Lepisosteus oculatus: one gene and its partners. The protein of the gene in region 4 interacts with the protein of the main gene of each other region in a pairwise test. Links are inferred from orthologs where the notes say so. Each region holds a gene or a part of one and is shown on either strand. Other genes may lie near its edges. The genes, in order: srrm4, stac3, thap1 and c6h1orf35.

What was found.
Region 1: the proteins of c6h1orf35 (region 4) and srrm4 interact in binary tests that used the Homo sapiens proteins (3 or more experiments, as listed by UniProt). The link is inferred for Lepisosteus oculatus from reciprocal best matches to the Homo sapiens genes C1orf35 and SRRM4.
Region 2: the proteins of c6h1orf35 (region 4) and stac3 interact in binary tests that used the Homo sapiens proteins (3 or more experiments, as listed by UniProt). The two-hybrid records come from large-scale screens. The link is inferred for Lepisosteus oculatus from reciprocal best matches to the Homo sapiens genes C1orf35 and STAC3.
Region 3: the proteins of c6h1orf35 (region 4) and thap1 interact in binary tests that used the Homo sapiens proteins (3 or more experiments, as listed by UniProt). The two-hybrid records come from large-scale screens. The link is inferred for Lepisosteus oculatus from reciprocal best matches to the Homo sapiens genes C1orf35 and THAP1.

What each region holds. Positions count from the first base shown.
Region 1 is NC_090717.1:4,265,975-4,272,812, reverse strand, and holds the start of srrm4 (serine/arginine repetitive matrix protein 4), read left to right. Parts: upstream 1-3,826; 5' UTR 3,827-4,419; coding exon 4,420-4,550; intron 4,551-6,838. UniProt on the Homo sapiens protein: Splicing factor specifically required for neural cell differentiation.
Region 2 is NC_090696.1:18,376,362-18,383,504, reverse strand, and holds the start of stac3 (SH3 and cysteine-rich domain-containing protein 3), read right to left. Parts: upstream 3,027-7,143; 5' UTR 2,805-3,026; intron 2,388-2,804; exon of another isoform or gene 2,309-2,387; intron 1,448-2,308; 5' UTR 1,385-1,447; coding exon 1,368-1,384; intron 1-1,367. Other genes in the region: R3H domain-containing protein 2, read right to left, coding at 6,495-6,811. UniProt on the Homo sapiens protein: Required for normal excitation-contraction coupling in skeletal muscle and for normal muscle contraction in response to membrane depolarization. Required for normal Ca(2+) release from the sarcplasmic reticulum, which ultimately leads to muscle contraction.
Region 3 is NC_090698.1:64,312,294-64,319,212, reverse strand, and holds the start of thap1 (THAP domain-containing protein 1), read left to right. Parts: upstream 1-3,895; 5' UTR 3,896-4,079; coding exon 4,080-4,150; intron 4,151-4,184; exon of another isoform or gene 4,185-4,334; coding exon of another isoform or gene 4,335-4,336; intron 4,337-5,149; coding exon 5,150-5,345; intron 5,346-6,658; coding exon 6,659-6,919. UniProt on the Homo sapiens protein: DNA-binding transcription regulator that regulates endothelial cell proliferation and G1/S cell-cycle progression.
Region 4 is NC_090701.1:29,716,008-29,723,120, forward strand, and holds the start of c6h1orf35 (multiple myeloma tumor-associated protein 2), read left to right. Parts: upstream 1-4,090; 5' UTR 4,091-4,531; coding exon 4,532-4,628; intron 4,629-4,890; coding exon of another isoform or gene 4,891-4,915; exon of another isoform or gene 4,916-5,052; intron 5,053-6,537; coding exon 6,538-6,688; intron 6,689-7,113. Other genes in the region: guk1a (guanylate kinase), read right to left, coding at 3,059-3,092.

The DNA of each region.
Region 1 (6,838 bases), on a different chromosome or scaffold from region 4:
GCTTTTTCTATGGGTCTTTTTAAGCCTAGTCTGCAGAATTGGATGCCAGTTAGTGTCAACTTAGGGAGTGATTGTGCGATATGAGCTCAACGGTTCAGGAGCACTTGGAAAGACAATTATGCATACTCCCCTTCACCCCTTTGTTGAGCCTTAATAAAACTTATGACAAGAACCAGTTTGCTGCTCTAAAAATACACAAACAGCAATTACCAAGGGCGGCCAACAAGCCTAAATTCACTTAGTGGAATTTTTCGAATATTTTTTAATGAAGGTCATAGACTCTCGTCAATGGTCATCACCTGATAGTTTCTGGCTTCTGTTTATTTAATTTGATCTGTGTTAATATTTATTAACAGAAATGAGATTCAGGGCACTGATTACAGATGGTACTTGGTGAAGCTCCCAAAACTGCAGGAGAATTGAGAAATCATTATAGAGCTCCCTCTAATTGAACAATATGAGAAATGTGAGTGCCTATGAAAATTGTCATGTTTTATTAATGCCACAAAATTTCCAAATATAATAACATTCTGTAGCCAGTAATTTACCAAGTACAGAACTGTAATGGGACCTTTGCTGTTCTTTCTGTTAAGAAACTTTATTGACATTAAATATAGATGCTTCTTACTTCTTTATTCAGCTCACAGATTGAATTAATGTTAATTATTTGTTACCAAAAAATCATGGATTGGCATTGCTCAGCTACTGATGTTTCTACATGAATGTTGGAGAACTGTAGAGAACATGTTAATATAAATCCCCTACACCTTATCTATCTCTGTAGCTAAGAAGCAGAAAGAGGGAGGGCTGGTGGAGAGCTACAGTATGCAGTTTAATTACCTAGGGAGATTGACTGCACAACATGTCTCTGCTCAATACCTCTGCAACAGCAAGAGGTGTAATTGAAAAGATTTCCTTTACTTTAACTGACTCATTTTGGAGTGCGACCGAAAACCGAGAAAGCATACACAAGCAAAACTAATCTAAAAAAAATATGAATCTGTAGAAATCTGACTCTGGCCTGGGGTCATAACTCCTGACCAGGCTTGAGTGAATTTTAAACCGACACCTGCTGTTGTACATGATATCTCAGAAATAGCTGAAAAGTGAGATAACATAATCAGAAGGAGCCACTAGACCACAAGGGAAATGATCACTCTTAAACCCCCATTCATAGCAACAGCATGGCTGGACGTACAGAGCCTATAAAACCCTCTGTAACACTGTTGTGGGAAATACGCCTTATATGTCTCCTTCAATGTTCTCAGGAAATCGCCATTTCCGTTACAATTAAACTAATCTCAAACCTTAAATGGGATTTGATTCCTGCATCCATACAAATCCAAAGAAAAAGCATTACGTTCTTGTGTCAGCACCAGTGCTTAATACTCATCTACTTGGCTGTTGCTTTAGGAATTCTTTCTTCCTTCACTTTGAAGTGTCAATGTGTGCACTTCTTCAAATGCCACAACTCGTTAGCATGTCTGACAATGAAGTGAATATGGTAGTAGTGTGAACAATACAGTTGGCTACTTATAGATCTATGCAGAATCATATTAGTCAATATTAGTTTGTGGATTCAGATTCCAGGTGGGGCCTCCTGTTGTACCCATGAGCTAGGTACAGTACTTCATTCAGACTACTCCACTAAAAAGTTAATCTGTATAAATAAATACTAATTTTAGTCGCTTAAGTTAAAACCATTACCCACATAAGACACTAAAAATAGTTCTTTATCCTTTCCTAAATGGTTAAACACCAACAGTAAAAGGTGTCCTTCTTCTAAGTTTAAATTTAGAAGGTGCACAGTACACGATTGTGACATTTTGGAATATTATTATTTTCAATAATATATATATATACACTGTATGCATTGAGGCTTGTTTCCTAAATGCTTAGGAAACCATTTTATGCTAAGGAAAAGAGTAAAGTTTCCCCATTTTTTGCCATCTCATTAAGTTTTTATTCTATGACCTAGTTCCCTCTGAAAGAAAGATTTGACAGGAAGGTTTTCTGCCTTGAGCAGACCTGATTGGGCTCAGGTGTGTGAGGTTTGTAGATTGAAAAGGGGTTCAAAAAAAGCAATTGCAAAAAACATGACCAAATGTAAATGCAATACCTTATCATCATATTTCAGACTGGACATACTGGAGTCATAGAATGCTCTGCTAATCACAGTTTGCATTTTAATGAAGGCAGTCAAAGTTAAACGCCCAGGAGCCAACCACATTACACTGTTGTTAGTAGCTTTGACGCATTAATCCATACTGCATTTTACACTTGGTAGTGACTTTCTAAAATTGCAAAACCTAAATACTAACTCAAGGGATCCATTGGAAGCAATGTGGTACAATTAAAGAATACTGGAAAAAACACAAATAGTTATTTTGAAATAACACTTTAGTTCTTTATTTCCTAATTACCATTTTGTGCCAGACCTAAGCATTGAGTAAATCAGAAAAAAGGACCCAAAGATTGTATTGAAAATGTTTATCAATTCAAAACATAAATACATTGAGTAGAGTCTACTGTAATATATTGTGTTTTTAGAGGCAACACGCTACACAATACACATGGAGATATGTAGTCTGGATAAGAAGACTATCTCTGTCTCTTTTGGGTTTAGGAGCTGGATGCTTTTCATGTATCTCTGCCAATATCTTTGTTTTTTTAGCAGATAAAATATGAACATATTCATGGCTCAAGATATGTGCTCTTTGGAACCTTAGGAGCCCTGGAAATGGGATCATAATCCAAAATTGTGTAGCAGACCACTGAACAAGATCTTCCAGTATCCAGGTTGGTAATAGAAATGTGGGCACTCAGCTGTAGTAAACCTATCTGCTATTGCTGGCTCCGTGAAATTCACTGTTGCATATATTTAGTGTACTGTATATTTTAGTGTTAAAATACTAAAATAAAATCCTATTTATAACATCTGTAAAGTATTTAAACCAATTTGCAGTTCTTTCAACAAGACAGCAACTAGCAACTAGGCTCCGTGAAATTCACTGTTGCATATATTTAGTGTACTGTATATTTTAGTGTTAAAATACTGTAAGAAAATCCTATTTATAACATCTGTAAAGTATTTAAACCAATTTACAGTTCTTTCAACAAGACAGCAACTAGAAGTTAAAAATATGTCGAATACATTTAAAATGTCTTGATTTATAAAAAAAACACTTATAACACTTTCACCACCACACTTTCTTGTAGCATTTTACATCACACATCTATGTTCAGTAAAGAAGAAAAAGTAGTAGTGCTTACTTTTTCAGTTTCAGACTAAAATCCTTTTACTGAATGCTTCGGCCTTGGTTTTTTAAGATTCCAGATAATTCTGATGTACATTCACTTAACACAATTGGTCAGTACCTTTTTTAATCAACGCCAAGAGCATGAAGCTAAATTGGAACATTATACTCATTTTTAACATGGAATTGAGCAAAAACAGATAAATGAATCCGTAACTTTTTACATCTATCACAGAGGATATCATAGAGCATATGAGGTGGTTTGAGAATTTGCTTTATCATAAGACAAAAGGCTGTTATTCTGGCTTCTCTTCCATCCTTGAGCACCTCTGGGTCAAAGAGAAATGACACACAGGCATTGTGGGAAGTTTCAGGCAATTCCCCCTGAGGCATTGTGTCAGGCACACGTAATGCCTATTCTCCAAAACCTGCTGCCTTTTGTTATGCTGATGGAACCAGCAGGCTCCGCTTTTTTGTTGAAGACTGAGAGACAGAGTAAGAGGAGAGAGAGAGGAGAGAGAGAGAGAGAAAAGACATCCTACTCTGGTGACCCAACCCCAGCTTCAACGTCAGAGCCTACAAGAGACAAAACAAGAGATCGTCAGCTGGGCACATACATCCACACACACGCACACTCTCCCAGCCACACGACACTACACTGTCCTTGGCTACGCACTGGCTTTCTCTTCGAAGCTCACATCCAGCGGCACGGACAGAGCCTCCGCAGACTGAACTCATGGTGAGTGGACTGGACACTGGCTTGCCTCCCCTGAACCAAGGCAAAGCAGGTGACAGCAAGAAATCCATGGGCAAATGAACAGAAGGCAAGGGATGGTGAAAATAATGATAACCCTTAAATAAATGGTGCGTCGTGCAGCCTTTGTGACATCACATTGTCTCTAGTGGAGCAAGCATTATCACATGGACAGAAAGACAGGAAACGGCAGTAACTGATTGCTCCTTGGCATTTGAAGAGACTTAAAGGCTTTTGCGGCAGCTCTGGGCTTCAGTATTTGGACAGCTCCCTTGCTCAGGAGTGTTGTGTGTGAGAAGCAGCAGCAAGCAGGCGGCGACTGAAGCTTCAGCAGCAGCCTTGTCAGCCACTTCCCCCCATTACTTCCAGCCTTCGGTCACACGAGCCCAGTCTGAAGAGCAGCAAGCCATGGCCAGCGTGCAGCAAGGAGAGAAGCAGCTCTTTGAAAAGTTCTGGAAGGGAACCTTCAAAGCTGTGGCCACTCCGAGACCAGAAAGCATCATTGTAGCCAGTATAACAGCCAGAAGGACTTTGAGCAAGTAAGTGCCTTCATTTCAAACCGATCCACTTAACTATACCTTTAACTTATGAGAAGAATAGGGCTATTTGTTGAATTTAAAACCGAACTTAAGACACATGGTTCGGATTAATTCGTTTCCTTGATTAATTTCGGATACATTTGTCTACTTTTTTTCAGTTAATTGATTCTGTCTGAGTTGCTGAGTGCATCATGTTATAAACAAAATATGAAAATAGAAAAAGGCCCAGAGGAACAGGCTGTCTTTAAAAGCTTTTTGGCTCCACACCTAACTTTCCTCATAACTGGCAATGGTTAATAAATTACACATCTTTGGGAAACGTCTGCGTGACCTGCCAAAAAGGGGCAAACTGTGTAAAAACTGCATTTTACCTACAAAAATTGATGAGTTTTCTGCCTTAAGATCTGAACTGTCTTCTGCCTTTGTCAGATATGAGCTGCTCTACTTATTTATTCTTTTTTTCACCAGTATCACAAAGGTGACTTGTTGGATTATCAGCAGCTAGCATTGGCAAGTGAAAAGTGATTTGTGATTCATTTCAAACCACTGTGTGCTCTGCCAGTATCTCTTATCCCAGCTTTGCTGTCTTTACATTCCGTAAAGATCCAGCGCTGACAACTCTTATCTCACCCAATCCTAATTCAGTCATTGGGAGGGCAGACCGTTATGAGAGGCTCATAAATGTTGACTGAAGTCTGCAGAAACCTTCTTTGCCATACAAAGTTGTAGCCAGTTTGTGTAGTTAGCAGATGAGCACTGCAGAATATAATACATTTGAGCATTACAATGTTTTTCAGGTCTTCCGATATTTTTATTTTTCAAACTATTCAGAGTTAAAACCCGTTTCTCTTTAAAATGATGACAGGCAAGCAACATTTAGTTGTTTTTTTCAAACCACTTGCATTATTTTAGAAATGTGGCTTTTATGTGAGTAAATAAGTGAATTAGCTTGTAAAATAAACATACTGTATTTCTTCTTAATGTTTTGAATCAGAGGGGGCATAAGAGACACTAAACGTTTACAAAAGTACTAATGATATAAAATTCCCTAACTGATATATGTATGTAGTTAGCTACTCTTTGAATGTGTCAATATATTTTCCTAAAAAATAAATATCAAGACATGACAGTTTGCTAATACCTTACTTGCTTGGTGAAGATGATTACTTGTTTTTTTTAGGTAAGCTTCTTATTTTAACAAAACTGACTGATGAATTATAAGCAATTTGTACAGAAAATGTGAAATAAGGGAAATACTCCCTTCTGACAGAATAAGGGCTTTTCTTTGAAACTAATCTAGTATTTCAATTATATATTCAGCTGCATTTCCATAGCATAGTATAATCCAAATTTAATTACTTGTGAGAGTGGTTTTCCAGAACAAGCACAACAATAATAAAGTCTGCCCTCTGTTATTTTCTTATTATAGCTATATGGTTTCTATAATTTCTCTACATAAAGTGTAACCGAGCAATTTCAAACATGAATCCTGTCTGAATACTATAGAATCCAATATATTCAGTGTGATAGTAAAACATCATACAGTATACAGTATACCCCAGTAAAATTATGATCTTCATTCTTGTCACTTTTGCATTGTTTGATAGTTGTGCTCGATCTAACTCACCTCTTGTGTGTTTGAGAGGATGTTAGCAGGTGTGGCACACAGATTACAAACCCAGCATCCTTTTTAAAAATCACATGTAACTAAGCCACCGTTAAGCTTTGGAAGGGTTTTCTTTCTCTTTATTGTATCCATTCTTAAATACACACTAGAACACAGAGAAGACCCTGAGGAACTTATGCTGGGAAAGATCCAAAGCCATTCATTGTTTAAAGGGAAATATCTCTTTCAACAGAATTTGTGGGTACTGTAATAGCAGATCGAAAGCATTCATCCCCACTGAGTAAGCAGGCCTCAATCTTCCACTTTGCTGAAGTAACATACTGCAGTGCATAAGCACTGAACTGGGCATTTGACAATGCTTGATAGCAGAGAAAAAGGAAACTACAGAATGGGGATGTGTAATTATTGCCCTTTCATTTTCTATGTATTGTCCTTTTCTTCAAACGTCACTGGAGCTGACTATAGCCTCCCCTGCTGACTGCCGTTGGGTAATTAGAGAGGTACCCCTCCCCCCACCCTCTTTCAACTCTGGGGGAAAAAAGGGTGATGTGTTCACGAACACTCCAGCTGGAGGGTTTCTCTCTGGGTCATTATATCCTGCAAGCTGTTTTGTACCAGGGTGAGGCTCATTAAAAATGCAACCAGTTTTGGAGGGGGAGAG
Region 2 (7,143 bases), on a different chromosome or scaffold from region 4:
CACTCCAAAGCCATCCTGGTAGGTTAATTGGCTTCTGGGAGTGTTGGCCCTGGTGTGAGCGAGTGTGTGTCTACGTCTGTGTTTGTGTCTACAGTATCTGCCCTGTAATGTACTGGCGTTTCATCCAAGATGTGTCCTGCTTTAGCCCACTGCTTACCAGGACAGGCTCCGGCTCCCCTGTAACCCTGAACTGGAATACGTGGTAAGAAAATGGATGGGTGTACAGTAGATAAGTGTGTGGTTGTGTTCACACAGAGCATGGAAGACTGCGCTTGCTGGCCAAGGCTGCAGGTTCTCAGACATCATACTCGGCTTCAGGAGAACCAGCTTTTTCCAAACTATACTGAGCAGAGAAGATCGAAATTGCATTTACTTTTTGTCTGAGAGGGATTCAACTGATTGTAGAGGTCAGGATTATGCAAGCATTCAAAGGTAATATAATAATAAAGGGTATAATTATATATTACTATGTAAGGGCCACTTTTGACCTTGGTTTTACTCTATTGGGTCAGAATGTCACCCGGGTTCCTTGCAGCCAGCACCTGCACAGATCTGTGCTGAAATACCTGCCTGGCATTCTACAGCTGTGCAAAACTGCACAGAGCTGTGCAGGAATGCAGGGACCTGCATGAGGAAAAATGCAGCCTGTAATTCCAGTGACGATCTGGTGTAAGAGATAATAGTATTCACCGCAAATCGACGAGACAGCAGGGAAACTGCTGTTCCTAAAGAAGACCGTGGTGACAGCATGGGCTTCCAAGGCCTTTTTCAAGGATAACAGAACTGTCTCAGTTCACATCCTTCACGGAGCTTCTTCCTGCATTCAGATTCTCAAGGGCTGTACAATTCTAGTCCAGGATTGCACTGTAGGTTTTCATTCCTAACTACCTAGTTAATCTAATGGGCGGAGCTGTGGCGCTGTGGCTAAGGATCTGCGCCTGTGGCTGGAAGGTTGCCGGTTCAAATCCCACAGCCAGCAGAGGAATCCTACTCCTCTGAGCAAGGCCCTTCACCCCAACTGCTCCAGGGGCGCTGTACACTGGCTGACCCTGCGCTCTGACCCCCAGCTTCTCTCTCCCTGTCTGTGTCTCATGGAGAGCAAGCTGGGGTCTGCGAAAAGATTAATTCCTAATGCAAGAAATTGTAGAGGGCTAATAAAGTGATGTTATGTTAATGATTGGCTGAATTGGACCATCTTCTCCCAGTTTTCACGTGTCCTTGCAATGTTGCTAAACCTCAGGCAGGGTGGGGTTTTGACAGTGCAGCAAGATCACCCTCTGCTAGAGGCTCTAGGCACTGTGCTCATCAGATCAGTCACATTGCCCAACGAGCAAACTGGGCGGGAAGACGGAGGAATCGGGACTCACTGGTCGTACTGCGCCATCACTGCTGGGGGAAGTCTCCCTCGCTCTCAAGCACGGGGCCACTCCTGAGGTAGCAGGACACCCTGCCAGGAGAGGGGAGAGACACACAGAAACGCTCTATATTACACCATTGCACTGCCATTAGCACTGATGCAGGTAATACGTTGACCACTAGTATAATTTGAACACTTGTTACAGGTGCTTTTGCATCTTTTAGCATAACATGAGGAACAAATCCATTACAGACAGCGAGAGTAGTAGCCGCGGCAGTAGAAGCAGAGATGGCGGCAGTCACGACAGCAGTGCAGGGACCAGTAGATCACTAGCTGTAGGTGAAGGTGTGGCAGGAGAAACAGCAGCTGCAGAAGGGTAACTACCCGCTGTGGCAGCTGCAATATCAAGTACATAGCTTCAGTAGTGGTGTTGGCACTAGTAGCAGAAGTGCAGGTGTCCTGGTCCTGATCCTGGGAACCCAAACATCTGCTGGGTTATATTCCACCTGAGCGCTCAGTTAAGTAATTGAACCCTTAACACACCTGATGATAACAGGTGTGGTCTGAACTCGTCGTTTGCAGTTCCTAAACATGGAGGAGGTTGTCTGTTAGCCATTGCATTTAAGTAACACGAGGACTCCAGCCTTTCAGCAGACAAGCATAGCTTGGCGGGGTCCTGGCCCAGCGACTTGTTGGTTCAGTTAAGGGCTCATTTGAGTAAAGAGCTCAGCTGCAACAAACGCCAGCAGATCCCCAGGGTCAGGATTGGGAAGCCCTGTCATGGAATAAAGATAGCCCCGATAGTAGCACACGGTGAAACTGGGAACTGGGATAACGAAGCCTTGGGCAAGCTGAAAACAATTCCTCATGCGGAGCGCTCCTCCTGTGTTACTGGCCGCCGGCGCGAAGGGAAGGCGGGTGTCGTTCAGGTCGACCAGTCCGAGGACTGACCAGCACTCCTCCAGGTCGGCCCAGCCTTGCCAGCCCAAGGAGAACAACGGGAATAAACAGTTTCCAAACACTTCTTTCTCCCGATTGTACACCAATGAGCTCTGCCCCGCTCTCTCTCTCTGTGTGTGACTCGCGCTCAGACTGCTCTGCTCTATTCCTGGTTAGGGGGTAACCTGATCTCCACATGACTAAAACCGGAGCATCGTGGGCCCAGGAGCCCAGATTGAATTACAACAGTAACGCTCTAGAACACTCACTGGGGTGTCCGACTGGAGCTTAATCTCAGAGCATTAAAGATTGGACCAGAGCTACACACGGAGCATTTTAATCAAGCACCTCTCCTAACCCCAGTCAGCATTTCTGTTTCGCCTGTGCAATCGGAGAGACTCAACAGGAACGATTCCTACAAGAAGAGGAGCCGTAGGGGGTGTCCAGCTCTGAAGCCAAAGCAAAATACACGAGCCCCACCCGGGGGAAAAAAACACAATCCTCTCACCTCCTTGGGATTTCTCTTCCCCTCTGTGGCTCTAGTCTCTTCAGAAAGGAATCGCCAATTGGAAATTCCTGCGCGGTTTCCAAAGGGGCTCGAACTTGCCAGTGATATTAACACCAGCAGCGCAGTCCGGCACAATTTTGTCCCTGGGTTTTGCTGTGGTTGACTCTCCAAATGGCCCTTCCAACAGGAGGGGTGTTTTTGAAGCCAGAGGACCAGAGTGTTGTGGAGAGGGGGGTGCGCGCGTGTGCAGAGGAGTCAGGAACAGCTGACACGGATTGAGCAACGAGGAGCTGACACCAGGAAATCAGACACCTCTGATGGGACAGGCTAGGGGTCTGTCAGAGGGAGACAATCCCCACCTTTATCATGTCGTTACTGTGAAAGAACTAACAATTTGCCAACAGGTTGTCAAGGATTATTTCAGACTCTCTAGACAGACCACATTTACTGTATTCATTGCTTATTAACCATGAAACAAAGAAACACCGACAGGGAGACCAATGCAAGAACAAACACAACGTGTTCTAAAAAGCGTACTTAGCACAGGTTAAGTCAAGCCTCCTAACCAAAATCTTGATCACTGATGGCCAGGTTCAGGTTTCTATGGAATCAACACTTTTACCTCCTACTCTAAATTTCAATCAAGTTGGGTCAAAGCTACTTTATTAATCTGGTCCAAAACCACCAATCTTTCAGCAATAAAGGAAATGTACAGCCGATCAGCCACCTGACCTAAAACACTCCAGTGTGTGATGGGACAGATGAATACAGACGACATCTCATTATAATACATTTATCTAACCTTTTCTGGACACTCCACTCAAAGCGCTTTACAGGTAATGTGCAGCCCCCCCGGGTGATGAGACAGCAGCCATAGTGCGCCAGTACTCTCAACACACATCAGCTATCAGTGGGGAGGAGAACAGAGTAATGAAGCCAATTCATAGATGGGGATTATTAGGAGGTCACAATTGGCGAAAGCCGGGGAAAATCTGGCCAGGACAACACCCCTACTCTTTTTGAGAAATGCCCTGTGATTTTTAATAACCACAGAGTCAGGATCTCGGTTTTACATCTTATCCAATGGATGGTGCCTTTTTTACAATATAGTGTCCCCATCACTAGACTGGGACATTAAGACCCACACAGTCTGCAGGATGAGCGTTCCCTACTGGCCCCACTAACACCTCTTCCAGCAGCAACCTTTTAGCTTTCCCAGGAGGTCTCCCCTCCAGGTACAGGCCAGGCTCACACCTGCTGAGCTTCAGTGGGTTGGATGTCTGTCAAACCCGCAGAAAAACGGGGCCCAAACCAAGTTCCAGATCTAACCAAAGCTATAGAATTCAAAAACACACATGCCCTCCAATTACACTTACCTCAGCAGGACAATGTCTTATTGATGTTGCTAAAGCATGGCACCTTGATTGAGGTTTCTCACCTGCGCACCTGATCACTTGTGCAGGATGGCTGCTGGAGGGAGTGCACTTCAGTGTCTGGAAGTAGGTGCCTTCCCGCATATTAAAGGCTTCGAAGGCATTTGGGGAGGAAAGTGCTATACAAATTCAACGAATCATGGTCATACTAATCTTTGAGAGACAGGTGTGACTGGCACCCCTGGACAATGGCTTCCCCAGTCCGTTCCAGTGTCTTTACCACAGGATATCAATCTCAGGGCTGGTCTGACCTGTCAATACAATGTCTACTAGTTTCCACTCCCCATTACCGCCTGTTAACAGCGTAAGGCTCCACTTCCCAGGAGCTTTCAGGTCTTTGTTAGACCCCAGGCAGTGATCATGCAACCAAACTGATTATCCTTTGACCTGAACTATTTAAATACTTCTCTACAGATCTTTATAAACATACATATTAACATTCCCTACAAAGCATAAGTTTCTAAATCAGAGACTGGTCAATAACTGGATCAGTATGAATTGAAGGGGAGGGTGTGGGAGGAGCAGACGAGGTCTATAGCCTTTCTAAAGGAGCCGTTGCAGACAAACTGGCTGGGACCACACTGAAAGCATTTCCCCGATTCTGGCAGACTTGGTTTTTGCTTCTTCTTGGAAGAACTCTACGACACTACGGATTGCTATGGCTTCAGTCCAGATCAGCTCCTCTTGGGAACCCTCTTTCCCACTTGCCTGCTCCTTAAATGTTTGCTCATGTTGCAAAACCTACCCACTTAAATCCCCCTGCCCATCTCATAATTCAGTCTGGGGGGGAATTTCTCACTCGCGCTGGTGCAGGGCGGCCAGGTGGGTGCAGCACTGCAGAGGGAGATGATGTGGCTCCCCCCTGTGTGTGAAGCACACAGGACCATTTGTGGGGGGGGGGCAGAGATAAATGCAAGCAAGTATAAGCAATGTGGAAACTATTTGAAAAAAAAAAACATCATTCTATTCTTGCTTACTCACGTTTAGGGGTTGTGGTCATCAGTTTCTACAAGTGTGTCTTTTTTAGGAATATGAGCTTGAAAAACAAACCGAGTGAGTTTTAGGTTGCGAACACTAAACAATACAGTTCAAGCACTGGGCAGTAACTGATCCATTACAATAAAAAGATCATTTTAAATGGAAACTTTGGGAGAAACTGGCACTTCTGCAAGTCTGCCTTTAACAAATGCTCTTCTGGATGTAGGCTTCCACTGAATTCCTCCAGAGCACTGTTCGAAAGAGAAACAGGAGGAGTGGGGAAAAAAGAGAGACCAAACAGGCAGGCAGGGTTTTTTTTTCACTTTTATATTTTTAAAAACAAAAATAACAGATTAAATAAAATTTACAGTAGACATATGCAATCAATTGTGCACTTTTTAAATACTTCTTCTGATACGTTCTGCACAGCTGTCAACGAAAAACGCAAACACAAGAAAGAGAAAAGATCAAGGAGGAGGAGCAGGAAGATGGAGGAAGAAGAGGCAAGGCAGGGGAAGGGGAAAGCGAGGGGCTGAGAATGAGCAGGGCGAGAGTGTGTGGTGAGGACGGGAGGGATAAACTCTTCCACTGAAATCACTGAATATATATATTTTTAAATCCTTAAATCACTTATATAAATATATTCAACCAAAAAAAAACAGAAAACAAAAAAACGAAAACGAACGAAGAAACAGAATAAAGAAAAGATCAACAGCGCAGCACATGAAGCCACAGCAGTAGTAAGGCAAACAGAAGCCAACGGAGGCAGCCAAGAGAGAACGAGAGAGAGAGAGAGGTGTGCGCTACAGTGAGAGAGAGCGAGAGTGCGCCAGGAGAGGGAAGAAGTCGTGAGTATGAGTGAGAAGGGAAGGTGAGGGTGCAAGAGACCGGGAGTTTGAGTAGAGAAAACAGGACAAGGGGGAGGTAGCAGAGGAGCAGAAAATAAAAGATGGAGGACAAGTTTGGGGGGTGGGGTGGGGGATTGTGGGTAAAGTGAGGTCGACTGTCCAGTGTGTCCTCGTGTGCGCCGCGCGTCGGGTCATCGTACGTGCGTGTGGGTGGGTGGGCACGCGCACACGGTCAGTAAATGCTCCACACACATACGCGCATCAAACCGCACGCATGCTCGCGTGTCTTGTGTGCTCTTCTGACAAAAAAAAAGACCCAAAAAACAAAGGTAAATAAAAAAAAATAGAAAGTTGGAGTACGCCAATCTGGAACTTCTCCTCCCTTTTGTCGAGACGATTCGTTTTCCCCGCCGCGACCCTGCCCCGCTGCCCTACTGCGAGCTGGCCCGCTCCAGAATCCGCAGGTCATAGTTCTTTTTGGTGGCGCGCAGCTTGAAGCGGCTGGTGGAGTTATTGAGTTTGAAGGAAGCGCTCTGGGCGGCCATGGTGCTGGGGAACACGGCCACCACGGTGTAGAGGTGCGCCGGGTCGTTGTCGCCCTTGCCGCCCCCGCCGTCGCCCCGGCCCTGCGTGTCCTTCAGCCACTGGATCTTGGCGCCCGACATGGCCAGCTGGTTGAAGAGCTTCTCGGCCTCCGTGCGCGTGATGCCCTCGGGGAGGTCCGTCACCTCCAGCACGCGGCTGACCACTGCAGGGGGTGGCACAGAACACAGGCAGGCTGAAACCTCACCTCTCTGCCACCGCGGCCCACTAATCCTTCAGCCGCACGCGGCAAACAGCCCATTCGGACTGGACGGGGGAGCCTGCAGAAAGCCTCCTGTTGACATGCCCGTGATCCTAACCTTCTCCCCCAGGAAAAACTTTGCCCTCCTCCTCCCTCAGTCATACAAGCATGAAGGCGGCATTTTTTATTTTTTTACTGCCAATTCCCATAATTCCAGATGAGAAATTTGTTGTGATGTCCTTATTGAATCATGTCAAGCATTCCTGGATTCCTGGAAAGGCCAGAAACATTTCCAT
Region 3 (6,919 bases), on a different chromosome or scaffold from region 4:
CACAAAATGTCTGAAAGAGATCTTTGGATTCAATTAAGTACTAAATGGGCTGGAATGGCCAGATGGCCACCTAACCTTTCTAATGTCCTCACAGGACAAGTGTTTGGTGCCTTCAGTTCTCCAGATCATATTACAAACAAATCCAAAGTCAGACTATCACCCAGTTCTCAATAATTAAATATGAATAGATGCTATTAGGTTAAGCTATGCATCCTGAACAATATACAACCAGTATTTTTACACAATATATATATGGTCTTAAATATATTATGTTAATAATATATTATATATCATATATGTTAATACATGATGGTACATTAACCTACCAATCAACTTTGCACATTGCAAAATGTAAATAACCCCCATTCTCTCGAATTTATAGCACTGAAATGGCACCACAACAGCCTACTATATATTTCAATGAAAATCACAGCTATATACTGTATGACCACAATACAGTAGTGTGATGGCGCTAAAGGTATTGTGGCTACATATACTTTCCATATGACTGATAACCCACATAAGGGGGAATGATATCAACAAACCTAGACCATTTCAATCATACTAAAGAGATCTGAAAAAAACAAAGTTTATGTTTTACTTATTTAGTCTTGAAGATATGCTCACACACTTCTTCTCACACACTTTTTCTCACACACTTCTTCTTTGTTGACTATTTTGCCTTCGACAGGCAGGTGCTATAGCGTTCAGTGAAAGATAAACAGCGCTCCTTCACAAGCCAAGGATCAATAAGAAAAAGAGGAAGAACAATGAGTAAAAATAAAATTGGAGTTTCCCTTATTCACATGCCTAGTTCACCCAAGACCTCACAGTATGCAGAAGTTAAATTGAGTTCATTTACCTGTGTCATTTAGGTATAGCGCTGGTCTGCTGGTCAAGAAACACAAAATCCAAATTGCTGCCAGAGTACAGTGGAACATTAACTTTTATTTTCCCACTCAAAATATCTTACAAAGGAGCTCGACCTGTGCCTTCTGGGGGGTTTGAGTTCCTCCCAGGTGTTTATACACACATTTCTTCTTGAGTTCTCGACAGCATTTCTTCACCCTGTTTCCTGTTCAAAGCACACCCTGAGGTTCCTGTTTACACCGCAAAACAGAGCGACTGAGGTAAACACTGAGAATCGGCTTCTTCAGGAGGAAAGCAGCGAGGTTCATTTCATTGCTTTCATAACTGAACTAGACCCTTGCTACACAACACAACTCTTTCACAGACATAAGAATAGATTTAAAGAATCTGAAGCATTAAAGGAAGTTTAGTCCACTATGAGATATAAGGTATACTGTACAGTACATTTAAGTTTCAGCTTTAGGTTTTTGGGAATTCACATCTCTAAAGATCTAACCTGGACTGTGAACACTGACTCTATCATGAAGAAGGCTCAGCAGCGCCTTTATTTCTTGAGGTGCCTCAAGCGATGGGGGATGCCAATACATATGTTGGTGAACTTCTACCGCTGCACCATCGAGAGCGTCCTCACCAACGGGATCACCGTGTGGTATGGCAACACCTCTTCGCGCACTGCAGAGAATGGTCAATATGGCCCAGAAGATCATCGGCTGCGGTCTCACAGAGATTAAACAGCTCTATGAGGACCGCTGCCGTGGTAGAATTCTGGCCATCACAGAGGACAGTCACCACCCCGGGCATGAGCTCTTCACCCCACTGCCCTCAGGCAAGAGATATAAGAGCATACGGACACTTACCACCAGATTCTTCAATAGCTTCTATCCACAAGCAGTGAGACTGGCGACCACATTTAGCCATCCCCCTCGGACCACACCTACACCATCACCATCACCATCTACCTCTTTATGATTTCTTATCTATTGCACATCTCCAGTCATTGTTTACATATCTGTATTGTTTACATTCAAACTGTCTACATGTTTACTTGCACATTGTCTATTGTTTGTTTGTACATTGTCTTGATGCACTGTTTGCACTTTGTCTTGTTTTTTACACTTGTTTTACAATCGAGAGACTTTCTGTAAGTAAGAATTCCATTGTACCAGTACCGGTTACATACTGTATGGCAATAAAGTTCAAGTTCAAGGTGAATTGTTTGCAGGTTCTCAGGTAGCTATAAATATATATATGCATATTAAATATATAATCAATTTTAAAAATCCAATCAAATGATGGGAGACATCAAGCATGTATCCATACATCTTTCTGTAAATGAACAAACTACAGCTAGGCCTGGAATGTGATTCTGGACCCTTGACACTGGATTCAAAAATGTCATTTCTATCTTAAAAAGACCACATATCCTGAAGAAAGCCTGTTTGTATATAAGTATTTTGTATCATCCCATAACTCAAGTATATTCCTCCTGTAGTCAGCCTCACCACGCTTAACATGTCAAATGTTTTACATCAATAAGATGTCATAATATTGCTAATTGGAGTCCACTACAGTACATTTGGAGTAAAACCAAATCAGTAAAAATAAAGTAAAAATTTTTAAAAATACTGAATATATAAATTATGATATATAAGAAGTAGTTGCATCAAAGCAGTTTACATTTTAAGGTGGGAGGGGGAGGGGGGTAGTGTTGTACTTGAGCTATTGCACAACAGCCTACTCTGGGTTAAGTCACCTGGTTTACCTGGGGCCCTGCTTTCTGAGATTGCTGGGATTGCTCCGTGGTGCTGCTTTGCCCTCATCTTGCTTTCTCTCTGCACCTTGTAGGACATCCATCCATTTCCTGAGTGCTTTATCCAATGCAGGGTGACAGGGATTTTCTAGAGCAGTGGTTCCCAATCTTAGTCCCAGGGACCCACAACACATGTGCTAGTTTTTGTTCCACCTAAGTGCTCAATTAAGTAATTGTTAACCCTTAATAGACATAATAATAGGTTTAATTTGAACTCTTTGTTTTCAGTTCCTAAAAAAGTAGGAAGTTGCCTTTGACTGTATTTTGTTTCTTAAGCGACTTCAGTAGAACAAAAGAAAAAAGAAAAACATGCAGATGTTCTAACCAAGCAACTATAGGTTAAGGACTTATTTAAGCGAAGAAGGAGGACTGTGAATCCCTGGTCTAGAACATGAAATTGATTTGTCAAGAAATTTGAGCTGTAGGCCATTTGTGTGAATTCAAATGTTATTTTAAAATAACTCAGAAGGAAAATATTTTTTCAACAATTCAGATTTCAGAGCTACAATTATGATAAATTATATACAAGTGCCTTTAAAATGCACTTTGGGGTGTTAAGTCAAATAATCGCCTCTCCGTGCAGCCCCTGCCACACCAAGTTTCAAGTTTGTAGATCAATTTATCGTCAAGTATTAGGTCTTTCATGATGTAAACTGAGTTTATTTAGAAGACATACGCTTTAAAACTACAGTGCCACCTCGATATACTCATAAGGAAGCTGTTGTGAGCGTATAAAACCAATGAACCGTAAAAGAACGTCGTTTTATTTTTCACTTCCAAGTAAACCACGACCTCAAGATGTTTACCAATAAGACGCATTCGTCCTGGATTTTCTCCTCAAGATCTAATACCTCAACGCTTCACTTCACTTCCAATTTTGGAAACAGATAAGTTTTAAGGATACCCCACACCCCGAAAAAAAGAAATACTTTTCAAATTCTGTATGTACTGTATGTTCTGTTGTAATTAATACCTCTATGTCACCTCGCTGGAAAAAGCGGCTGCTATCATTCTAATGTGTGGCAGTGGTTCTTCAGGGAGGTCGCGATAACATAATGGATACAGGGCAATTATGCAGGTTAAATGTGTCACACGTCCACCAGATGCTAAAAGCTGCTTTAATGTACACGTCTCGTCCCCGGCACGTTGAGATTTGCCTTGTCTACGTGATTGTACACTGCAGGTGCGTCACCCGAAAAGAGAGGAGACTCTTCCACGGGAGTGACCAACCCGAAGCACGGATGCGCATCATGTGACAGCCAGCGAAGCCGTAGCAGCCATCTTGGAAACTGGAGAGGGACCTCTTCTGCGGAGAATTAATGAATAAATAGTAATAAAAAAAAGGCATTCGTAACATTTGCAGTCGCACCTGCGCTGCGCTTTATTTTCAAAGGCAGCGATGGTTCAGTCGTGTTCGGCGTACGGATGTAAAAACCGATATCACAAGGACAAGAACATTTCTTTTCACAAGTAAGTTAACTCCTGTCGGTCACCGCAGGGCGCAAGTACAGCTGTTTTCAAACAGTTTGCAATACTGAGGGGACAATCTCAAGTAGGCTACGGGGCAAACCGTGCCGTGATTTCTCCGCGAAGCCCAGCAAATGAATATAAAATCAGTTGATCGGAGATACAAAGCGTGTGTCCGCCGATCTTTATGTAAGCGAAATCAATGATTTGGGTATGACGTGCATTTCTGGGTTGCTACTCGTACATCGTGGTGCGTTATCCTCCGAGGAGCACATGACAGGGCAGTTTGTGTAATTACCACCTTTCAGATGGATACATTAAATTAAACGTATACCGAAATGGGAAAAAGGCAGTGTTTATGAAAAAGAATGGAAATGTAACACAGGGCTACCCTCGCTTTTATCTGTAAATGCCAGTTCTGACTGTCATGTTTGAAAATGGGACAGACGACGAGGTAGCGATTTTTGCAGCCCTGTTCTTCATATGAAGTATTAAATATTATTTGATGTGTGATTTTAGGGTACGAGTCAGTTTCCACACTCTCTGGAGCTGGAGACGTCTGGATATGTGGATATGACAAACTCTAGGACAGCTGAATGTTTAGGAGAGTCGGGGATATAGCAGTGCTGCACGGATTTGGATGTGGTCCGATTAAGTTACACCTTAATTTAATGTATTGCCCTGCGTTAAATTACATATGATCTGAACTAGCCAGAAGAGTGTAAGTGCCGTAGTTTTCGGTTGGCTTGCATTTTAAAGACTAAAGATTTTTTCATAACTATTTTAGATTGATTGCCCTGAACAACACAATAAACGTTATTGTTATAAATTCTCTTAGAAGTCAAATAAAGGTATACCATGTAAAAAATATGGAGGTATTACTATAAATCCTGGAGTGCTGGACTTGTGTTGTTCTCTCAAACGCCAAACAAAACAAAACAACATATGAATATATGAAGAGAAAGGCAATGCCTCTTGAAGTCGTGTTTGCTTATTCATCAGGTTTCCTCTTGCGCGGCCTGATGTGTGTGGAAAATGGGTCGCCGCGATGAGACGGAACAACTTCAAGCCCACTAAATACAGCAATATCTGCTCACAGCATTTCACCAAGGACTGCTTCAAACGCGAGTGCAACAACCGCGTGCTGAAGGAAAACGCGGTGCCCTCGCTCTTCTGTTTCAACAGGCTCGATGAAAAGGTAAAGCCAGGCGGAGAAGGTCACTTTTTCTTAAGAATTCAAACATGTGACATGCTCTGCTGTTTGTTTGTTTTTTCATCTTGTGTACAGTAGTTCAACTCCCGTGCTTTGCAATTGTTCAGTGTCTTCACAGGCTAAATGTTTTACAAACTTTCCAAGAACTCATAACATCCTGACTTACGTATGTTGTATATCGGCTGGAAATAGTGCTGTATTTCCAGCCTATGTTTTTTAATCGTAAGAAAAAACAACATTTAAGTAACTGATTACTGATCAACATTCAGCTAGGACTAGAATATAGGATATGGAGATTGGACCCCACCAATTGAACCAAGGGGCATGTTCAGACTCTTGTCTCATCCTAGGAAAATGAATGCTAGTGTTATTTAATTCATGACTGAGAATAACCTCTTGGGTTAAGGTTATTTCAAGTTCTTATGTCTCAGAATTCAAGAAAATCGTTGACTTTCTATTTTTAAGGAGAAAACAATTACCTTTATTTTTGAGCATCCTCTGGAATTTGGTGTCCTCCGTGTGCAGTCATTGTCACAGGATGCTCATATTCATATATGTGACATATGTGACAGGAAGAGGTACAGGGCCTTGCAAAAGTATTCAAACCCTTGTACAGTTCTCACTTATTGTTGTTATAAAGCTTGCAAGTCATGATACTTTGAAGTGGCAATTAATCTTTATGTACACAGCCTCCACACATTCAAAGCAACAAAAACAAAAAGAAAGAAGTAATTGATATGAAAGGAAAAAGTTATGTATTCAGACACTGAATACCTTGAGGTCCTTTATAGGCCCTTAACGTGCTGACTACAATATCTGGACTAATGAATTACCTGTGAAATGTAACCTTTTGTATTTTTGTATTGCACCTTGTTGGCAGGCAATATCAGTTTGTGCTCACTTGTGTATATCTATTTTTACGACTTGCGTAGTGCTGGTACGCTTTCACACTCGGCACCACAGGAAGAGTCTGAATTCTTTTGCAAGGCTCTGTAGTGTACATCAGCCTGTAAAATCTGTCGGGTATCATTTTTAAGCAACCATTTGTAAAAGCCAGGCCTTTGCTGGAATAGATCGAACTTTCTGATGGCAAGAAAAGAAAAAGAGAGCTTTGAACTCCAAGACTGAAGTGTTCTCATGTTCATGAGAAGCAGTACCTGGAAATATCTCCGTTGTTTGATGCTATCTCCGTTGGAGGATGATATATCATCCCACATTTGACTCCATCTGAAAGAGAGAGAAGTACTGTACATTCATGCTCACTGAACGCTTTTTTTTTTCCCCATGCAATCCTGTAGGATGAGGCCTTGGATGAGCAAACCCCACCAGAAATGACTCTTCCCCCTGAGCTGCACCTCACTGACTCTGAACAGTCACCACCACCACCTTCGCCACTGCCGGCTCAGGAACCCGGGCTGCCCCAGCTGCAGAACGTGGTGCAGATGGTTGTGCACCCAGCCCTGCTTCCCAGCATGTCCATATCCTGCGACCACAACTACACAGTGGAGGACACCGTGCAGCAGAAGAAGAGGATCCAGCAGCTGGAGGAGCAGGTGGAC
Region 4 (7,113 bases):
ATTAACCGGAGGATCAAAAAGGAATTGCATTTAAAACAGACAATATCAGGTGCCTCTTTACACATAGTGTTGTAGGAGTCTGGAACAAGATTCCCGGCCATGCTTTCAAAGCTGATGCCCTGGCTCCTTTCAAAAAATGATTGGATAGGATCATTGGATAACTTAGCTACTAGCTACCAGCACCCACTCAAGCTAGGTGGGCTAAATGATCTTTTTGTAAGCAGTGTATACCAGGTTTCAAAGGTAGCCTTCAAACCATTAATTTTTTTTAAAGTTCTGAAACAATTTATCTACAGTATAATCAATTAAACAGGTGTTGTGTTTATTTATGTAATTTACTGAGCACTTGTAACAAAGATCAGAACATCCTTAAGCCCTCAAGGACCAGAGTTTCCTTAACTGAAACATTCATCCATCCATTTTCTGGGAGGGAGGGAACCGGAAACTCACACGAACACAAAGTTTCCTCTCACACACTCCACACAGACAGCACCCCAGGTCTGGAACTGAACCCAGGGACCCAGTGCTGCGAGGCAGCAGTGCTAATCACTGTACCGCTGTGCTGCCCTGCATTGAATCATCATTTGCTTATTTGATTAAATGACCCTAATTTCTAAATAACTGGGGATTTCGGGCTGACCTACAAAATAACTGGACTTCTGGACTCTCTCGGAATCCCGTCGTGTGTTCTTAAAATAGCCGATGTAGTGGGACATTCTATTCATTAAATGCTACTGGACACAGTTAACATAAGTTAACAGAACAACTGAAGTGTACTTTGCAAATGATTGAGATGAGACACACTTAGCAAAATGCAGGATGTACCTAATATAGTAAAGACAATGAAACATGTTGTGAATTCAGAGGTAGCCCATCAGACGTGGCTCATTTAAAATTTTTAGAAGCCCAAACTATAGCAGAGTTTAAAAGGGAATATAAAGATAAGGTAAGCTAAATTTATAGGCTTAAATTACAATTTTAGCTAGACATTTGCTGTACTGGTACAAAGGTAAAAATGTAATATCATGGCAATATTATGGTAAGTTACATATGTTCCACAATGTCATACATTAGTAAAAGATCTAATTAGATTAGGGTCTAAAATGATGTACTGCAGACACTAATGCAGGGCTGGAATCAAAGAAAAGAACAAGACTCATGTAGAAGGAACAGTAAATTTACAGCATATTGCCATGTTGTTTTTCACACTAAATGAAACCAAATCAGAAACAGATCCAGTTCAGTTCAATTACTATGGTAAGCCCTCTCACAAAAGCACGAAAAACCAACCTGGGAGTGCAATTTTATTTTTCATCTTTGTAACAATTTCTGTATCATGATTTTTATACAGTATGTGAACAGGAATCTGAACTCTGCCTAGCAGCAGTTCATCTGGACACAAGGTCAGGATTTTTTCCTGTCATGAGTTTTTATACTCAATGAATTAAAAAAAGCTATTTCACAATTAGGTCAAACACCACGGGAAACAATTTAAATCATGACTTTACTATTAAATGCATGTGATCAATATTTCCCACTGACGGAGTTCATCATGTGTGATTCATTAAGAGCCACATGCTGTCTGCTGCTGAATAAATGATTTATATGTAAATGTTTTAAACAAAAAGGCTAAATGAATGACTGGACAAAATCATGGCAAAAACTGAAGTTTAAATATTGAGCAGTTTAAGTATATTAAGCTCTAAATGTACTGATCAGACCTCAAAGATAGTATAGCCTTAGAAAGAGTTCAAAGAGCAATAGAAAAATGACTGGTTTTAAGAGACAGTCAAAAGTAGACAGGATGAAGGAGCAAAATCTATTTAGTCTTTTGTTGAGAGATGATGAGAGGCGATTTGATCCTAGAATACAAAACCCTGTATAGATAGGTTCAACCTAGGGGACCATTTCACACAGAATAGTCTCCTCTCATGCATATGTTCTAAACAAAATTTACTACATGGGTGGCGAACAATGTTAGACTCGTATGTTCTTTGCATTGCACGCATTTTAAAAGTCAATCATGTGAAAAATAGTCCTGTTTAGACCTAAATTACTTATGATCATCTGGACCTGTAGATACTGTAGACGTCTGATAATAGTTCAATACATTGGACTTCCACCAATCACAGTAAGAGGTTCAGAACATAAAATTCAGACAATCCCGGACTACATAAAGTCTTCTGTGTAGCTTTAGGATCTTAATAATAATAATAATAATAATTGCTTACACTTATATAGTGCCTCTCTGGACACTCCACTCAAAGCGCTTTACGGGTAATGGGGCTCCCCTCCACCACCACCAATGTGCAGCCCCACCTGGATCTTGGTTACTATTTCTTAATTTTTTTCCACAAGGATTTCTTCTTGGGGCTCAAAGAATGATCACGCGGAGATCATAAGCATTAAAATGGCATTCACCGTTTCCTCCACTCTTGTTTTTTGTTTGACTAATTCACGCCTAGGTGTGGCGCTGACTAGGTACATTATCCTTATCAGGAAGCTGTGGGAAAGCTCAAATCCTGTATCAGTCACAGCTGATATAAAGGAAGAAAAGTAAACTTTGCGTTATCTTGCCTTAGTTGTGATCCTGCAAAGCACAGAATTCATGAAATCTCAAGAGAAAGTCAAACAACCAGCTGGACGTACAAACCTGTAACAAAAAGGCCATTTATTACAGTTAACCCTATAAGTAACAAAACACTTACATGCGACCATCAATGAAACTGTAGTCAATACGGGGGGAGAGATAATAGGAAACGGGAACAACAGAGTAAGAGAAACTTCACCGGGCGCAACGTGCCTTTTGAATAACATCCCATTTAGTACACTTACACATACACAACTCTAGTTTAATTAACTCTCAGCAAACCGAAAACAAAAACTAACTATAGCGTTTTACGCTAGGGTATACACTACCTTGTTAATCTCAAAATATTGAAAACGAAGAGCTCTAAAAGACAACGCAAAAGCCTTTTGCATCCTCAAATGCAGCGTGGTACTGTACGACATTGAATAATGAAAGGCAAGTCTTCTTTCATAAACGTTTCGAGCCTACCTGAAAGAAGTCTGGAGAAAATCTTCTGATACATGTGAGATAGATGTAACACAAGAGCTCAAGACTATTTTCCCCACCTCTCCTTCCCCTTTCCGCAATTGTAGTATTCTCGCATGAGCTCCATTAAATTACGATGCTGTACTTCGACGTCATCACAGTGAGACAAAGACAGTGTGTTGCTGTGGTTACTCGTCGCGTCTACGCGTCTTAAAGTTATAAATCCTACTGTAGCACTTGAATATCAAACTATTTCGTAAGCCTAGAAAAGAAACACCGTTAAAATAAATATAATAGAAATTAAGACGTGTCTGTAATGTATGCGTTACAACAACCATATAATATATAAATCGATTTGCCATGTGTCACCATATCGGTTAGTTAAATTTAATTGTATATGACAGTGTTAACTATTAAAGTTCCCGATGCCATTAGCCACCTCTGAATCATTCTAGTTTAATTCGTTTACGAATATGCTCCCTCTATCGGGAAAACACATAGCGTTTCTTCAGATAACTAGGGATTATTTTTATCCAGTAAAGCAGACCGCTTATTATAGCCACATAACGACTTCATACTTTCCAGATTGGCACTGACTGCAAGAGCAGAACAAAACAAATACACGTCAGCTGTCAGTGACTGCTGCAGGGAAATACACCACTGCGCAAAAAGGCGGCTGAAAATGAAAATGAGAGGCTTAAGAAAGAACAGTTCAAACTAAAAAATACCTTAGTAAAAGTTATTTTAAACAATAATATTGTAATGAATAATTAACAGCAAAGCAGACGAATACAACACGGTTACTGATTAGAACAGTTGTGTAAAATGGTTTGCTTTAAAACATAAACTGGATGAATTTAAAATCATATAAAATGAAGCTCATTTAAAATAGATAACGAATAAGCAATTTACATTTAGCGTCATTGATGTCAATACTTAATCTACTGCATACCATTTATTACCCAATTCAGAACCTATGTATTGTGTACGTACTAAATGCAGCACCTATGTATTATGTGCGTACTTAAATATTGTAACCTCTCAGTTACGATGAACAACATTAGTTGCCATACATTCAGCCAAACCCTAGCTTAGTTGAAATGGGAGTCAGAACTGCAGTGACTGCAGGCGGAGGGAAGAATTAGCGCCTAGTGGTGGCGAAGAGTAGACCGCGGATAACCAGTGCTGAATTAGTAACAGTCTAGCACGCTGCAGTCAAGAAATCGCGTGGACACATAATTTACACCGTATATGTGTACATTATTTTATGTTAAAAATCAGAATCCTGACTTTCGGTTTCTCCTCTACCCATAACAGCAGCCTGGCTCAAAGCCACTTAAACCTGAAGGAACCCGGAGTATTTTTACAGGAAACTCCCCGGATTGAACAGGCCGCACAATAGAGAAATGCGCATGTAGCCAAATAGTATTGTTATTAAGGCTTTCCGAAATTTGTTATTTTACTTATACAAAAAAGATGTTTGGTTCTTCGAGATCCGGTGGCGTGAGAGGTGGCCAAGACCAATTCAACTGGGATGATGTGAAGAGCGACAAACACAGAGAAAACTATCTTGGTAAGTCATGCACATACAAAGCAAACTTCGCAAGATGTACTTCCTCTTTTTGAATAAAACATCAATGCATGTTTTTTTTACATTTTTTTACTCGGAGATTAGAATAAACATAACAGAAATTATATTTTTAATAAAACCTGCAACGTGGTCCGAATTAATTACAACCTCGTGACTGTTGTAAAGCCGGAATTCTCCGAGAGTAAGAAGGAACAGGAGCATTATTAAAGGATAGGGTGATCACATTGACAGTTGCGATTCTTACCTTTTTCTTTTCGATATTCCTTCATCTCATAATCTTTGTGCTTTCTCTTAAAAATATAGTTCGCCCACACAGCTCGATTGACTAGGTCACGTTCACGGCTCGTCTATCGCCCTCTCTGAGCTGATGGGATGCCGATCCTCTCTGTCAGATACCCAAGTTACACGTTTCCTAAGGGCATTGGGTTGTCCATCGGTAGAGTGAGTTCTTTGTAATGCTGAGCAAGAGTATTGACCATTTTGCATTTAAGCATATTTTCAATTTCTCTTCAGTCGGTACTTTGTTGAACCATAGAGAAATCCGTTGAAGAACAGGGCTCTTGAAAAACCATTTGTCCCGCACCACTTCGATTACATTATACTATAGTAACGTTCCTTGTTGCTGCGAGTCTGTTATTACAAATACGTCTAATGTAACGCAGCCAGAAAAAAAGTCTAAATACAAAATCTAAAACGCTTTGAGTTAGATGAGGGTACTTGAGATACTTAAGTGTTTATGTTGACACATCATTAACATTTTATCAATATTGACTCACATCAATATTGACATGCAATTTAAACTATAAACGAAATGTTAGGATATATAGTTAAAAGTAGATTTTAAATAAAGGGATACTGGGTTAAAACTGTATTGTGTTTTTTGGTCACCAAGTTAAAGAAAGGGTATTGCTGCTTTGGAATACATCCAGAGGCGAGCAACTAGATAGGTTTCGGGCTTCCAAGGCTTCAGGGAATGTCCTGCACTGACAGGCTGACTGAACCGAGTCTCTTTAGTCTTGGAAAGAGATGGTTACGAGGAGACCAGATTCAGAATACTCAAATGCATTAACCAAGTCAACTCAGAAGATTTCTTCAGAATAAACGGTGAAACACAAATCTGAGAACAGAACTAGAAACTATGTGGAGGTGTATTTAAAACTGAGTATAGGAGGCACATCTTTACCACAAGGGTTGTGGGAGTATGGAACAAGCATATGGTTAAAGACTAACCCTGGCTTCGTTCATGAAATGGTTGGATAAGATCCTTAGATTAATTAGCTACCAACTTCTAAATAACATGGGGTCCACTCATTTGTAACCTTATGCTTTTTATGACTACAGTACCCGAAGTCAAATTCCACTTATAACTATTTCATTAAAGTTATTAGGGGAATAGGTTGCCCAAATGTATCTGCCTGTTTCATAAAACATTTCCCCTCACATCCAGGGAGAAACAGTGAAAATCTGCTGAAAGTGAAAGTCTGCTGAAGAAAAGTGTTTTTTTTTTTCCTCTGTGCAAGGGTCAGTTGTTCACCTTCAGGGCAAATGAGCTTTGAAATGTAACAGTTCCAATGTTCAACATCATTATACAAAGCCTACAGCAATATTTCTTTTTCCCAAATGTCCAAAATTATGTATTGTATTAATTTAGTTATATCATGTTTTTTATCAAAGAAAAGAAGGTCTCAAGTTCTAGTAGAGAAGAACCAACTTGTGTTACACTAACCACTTAATACAGTAATAGTAATGCGGTATCTGCTGCAGCTCAGAAGAGAGTGAGGTCCAGCCCATATATTCCTTTTCCCCCAAAAGACACTTGATGTAACTCCTAGTCAGGTCTGTCATGCTTGTCAAAGGCCTGAATGGTGTCCTCTCTGCTGTGCCCTTACAGGGAACTCTCTGATGGCACCAGTGGGCCGCTGGCAGAAGGGCCGGGATCTGACGTGGTACGCCAAGGATAAGAAGGGCCAGGCAGTGCTGTCGAGGGAGGAGGAGCTGGCGGCAGTGAGGCAGGCGGAGCAGGAGGCTCTGATGGCAGCTCTGTGAGTCACGCCCTGTCAGAACAGGGCAGGTGCATCTCTCCATGCATGCAGGGGCAGATGCTCACCGCTGTTAGTCCCACCTCTGTCATTTCAGTTGAAGCACATTTTGTCAGTTTTGGTGGTGTACCTCTCCCTGACGAGATCCTGACTGATCCAGGTATCACTAACTACTGACAGCACTATGTTACAAAACCCAATTCATTTTAAGTAAAGCATTAAATAGTTTACACGGCAATCAGCAGTAATGTCTTTCTATTGAGCTAGAGAATGAGTTAATTTGGTCTACAGACCCAGGTCCAAATTCCAAACTGTTTGTCCATTTTGCTGAGACTGCTCCTGTAATAATGCCAACAGATTAAATAAAGTTAAGCAACCGTCATTACAGCTGTTTTCTGGCCAAGTCTCAAGGTGCCATGACACAGGAC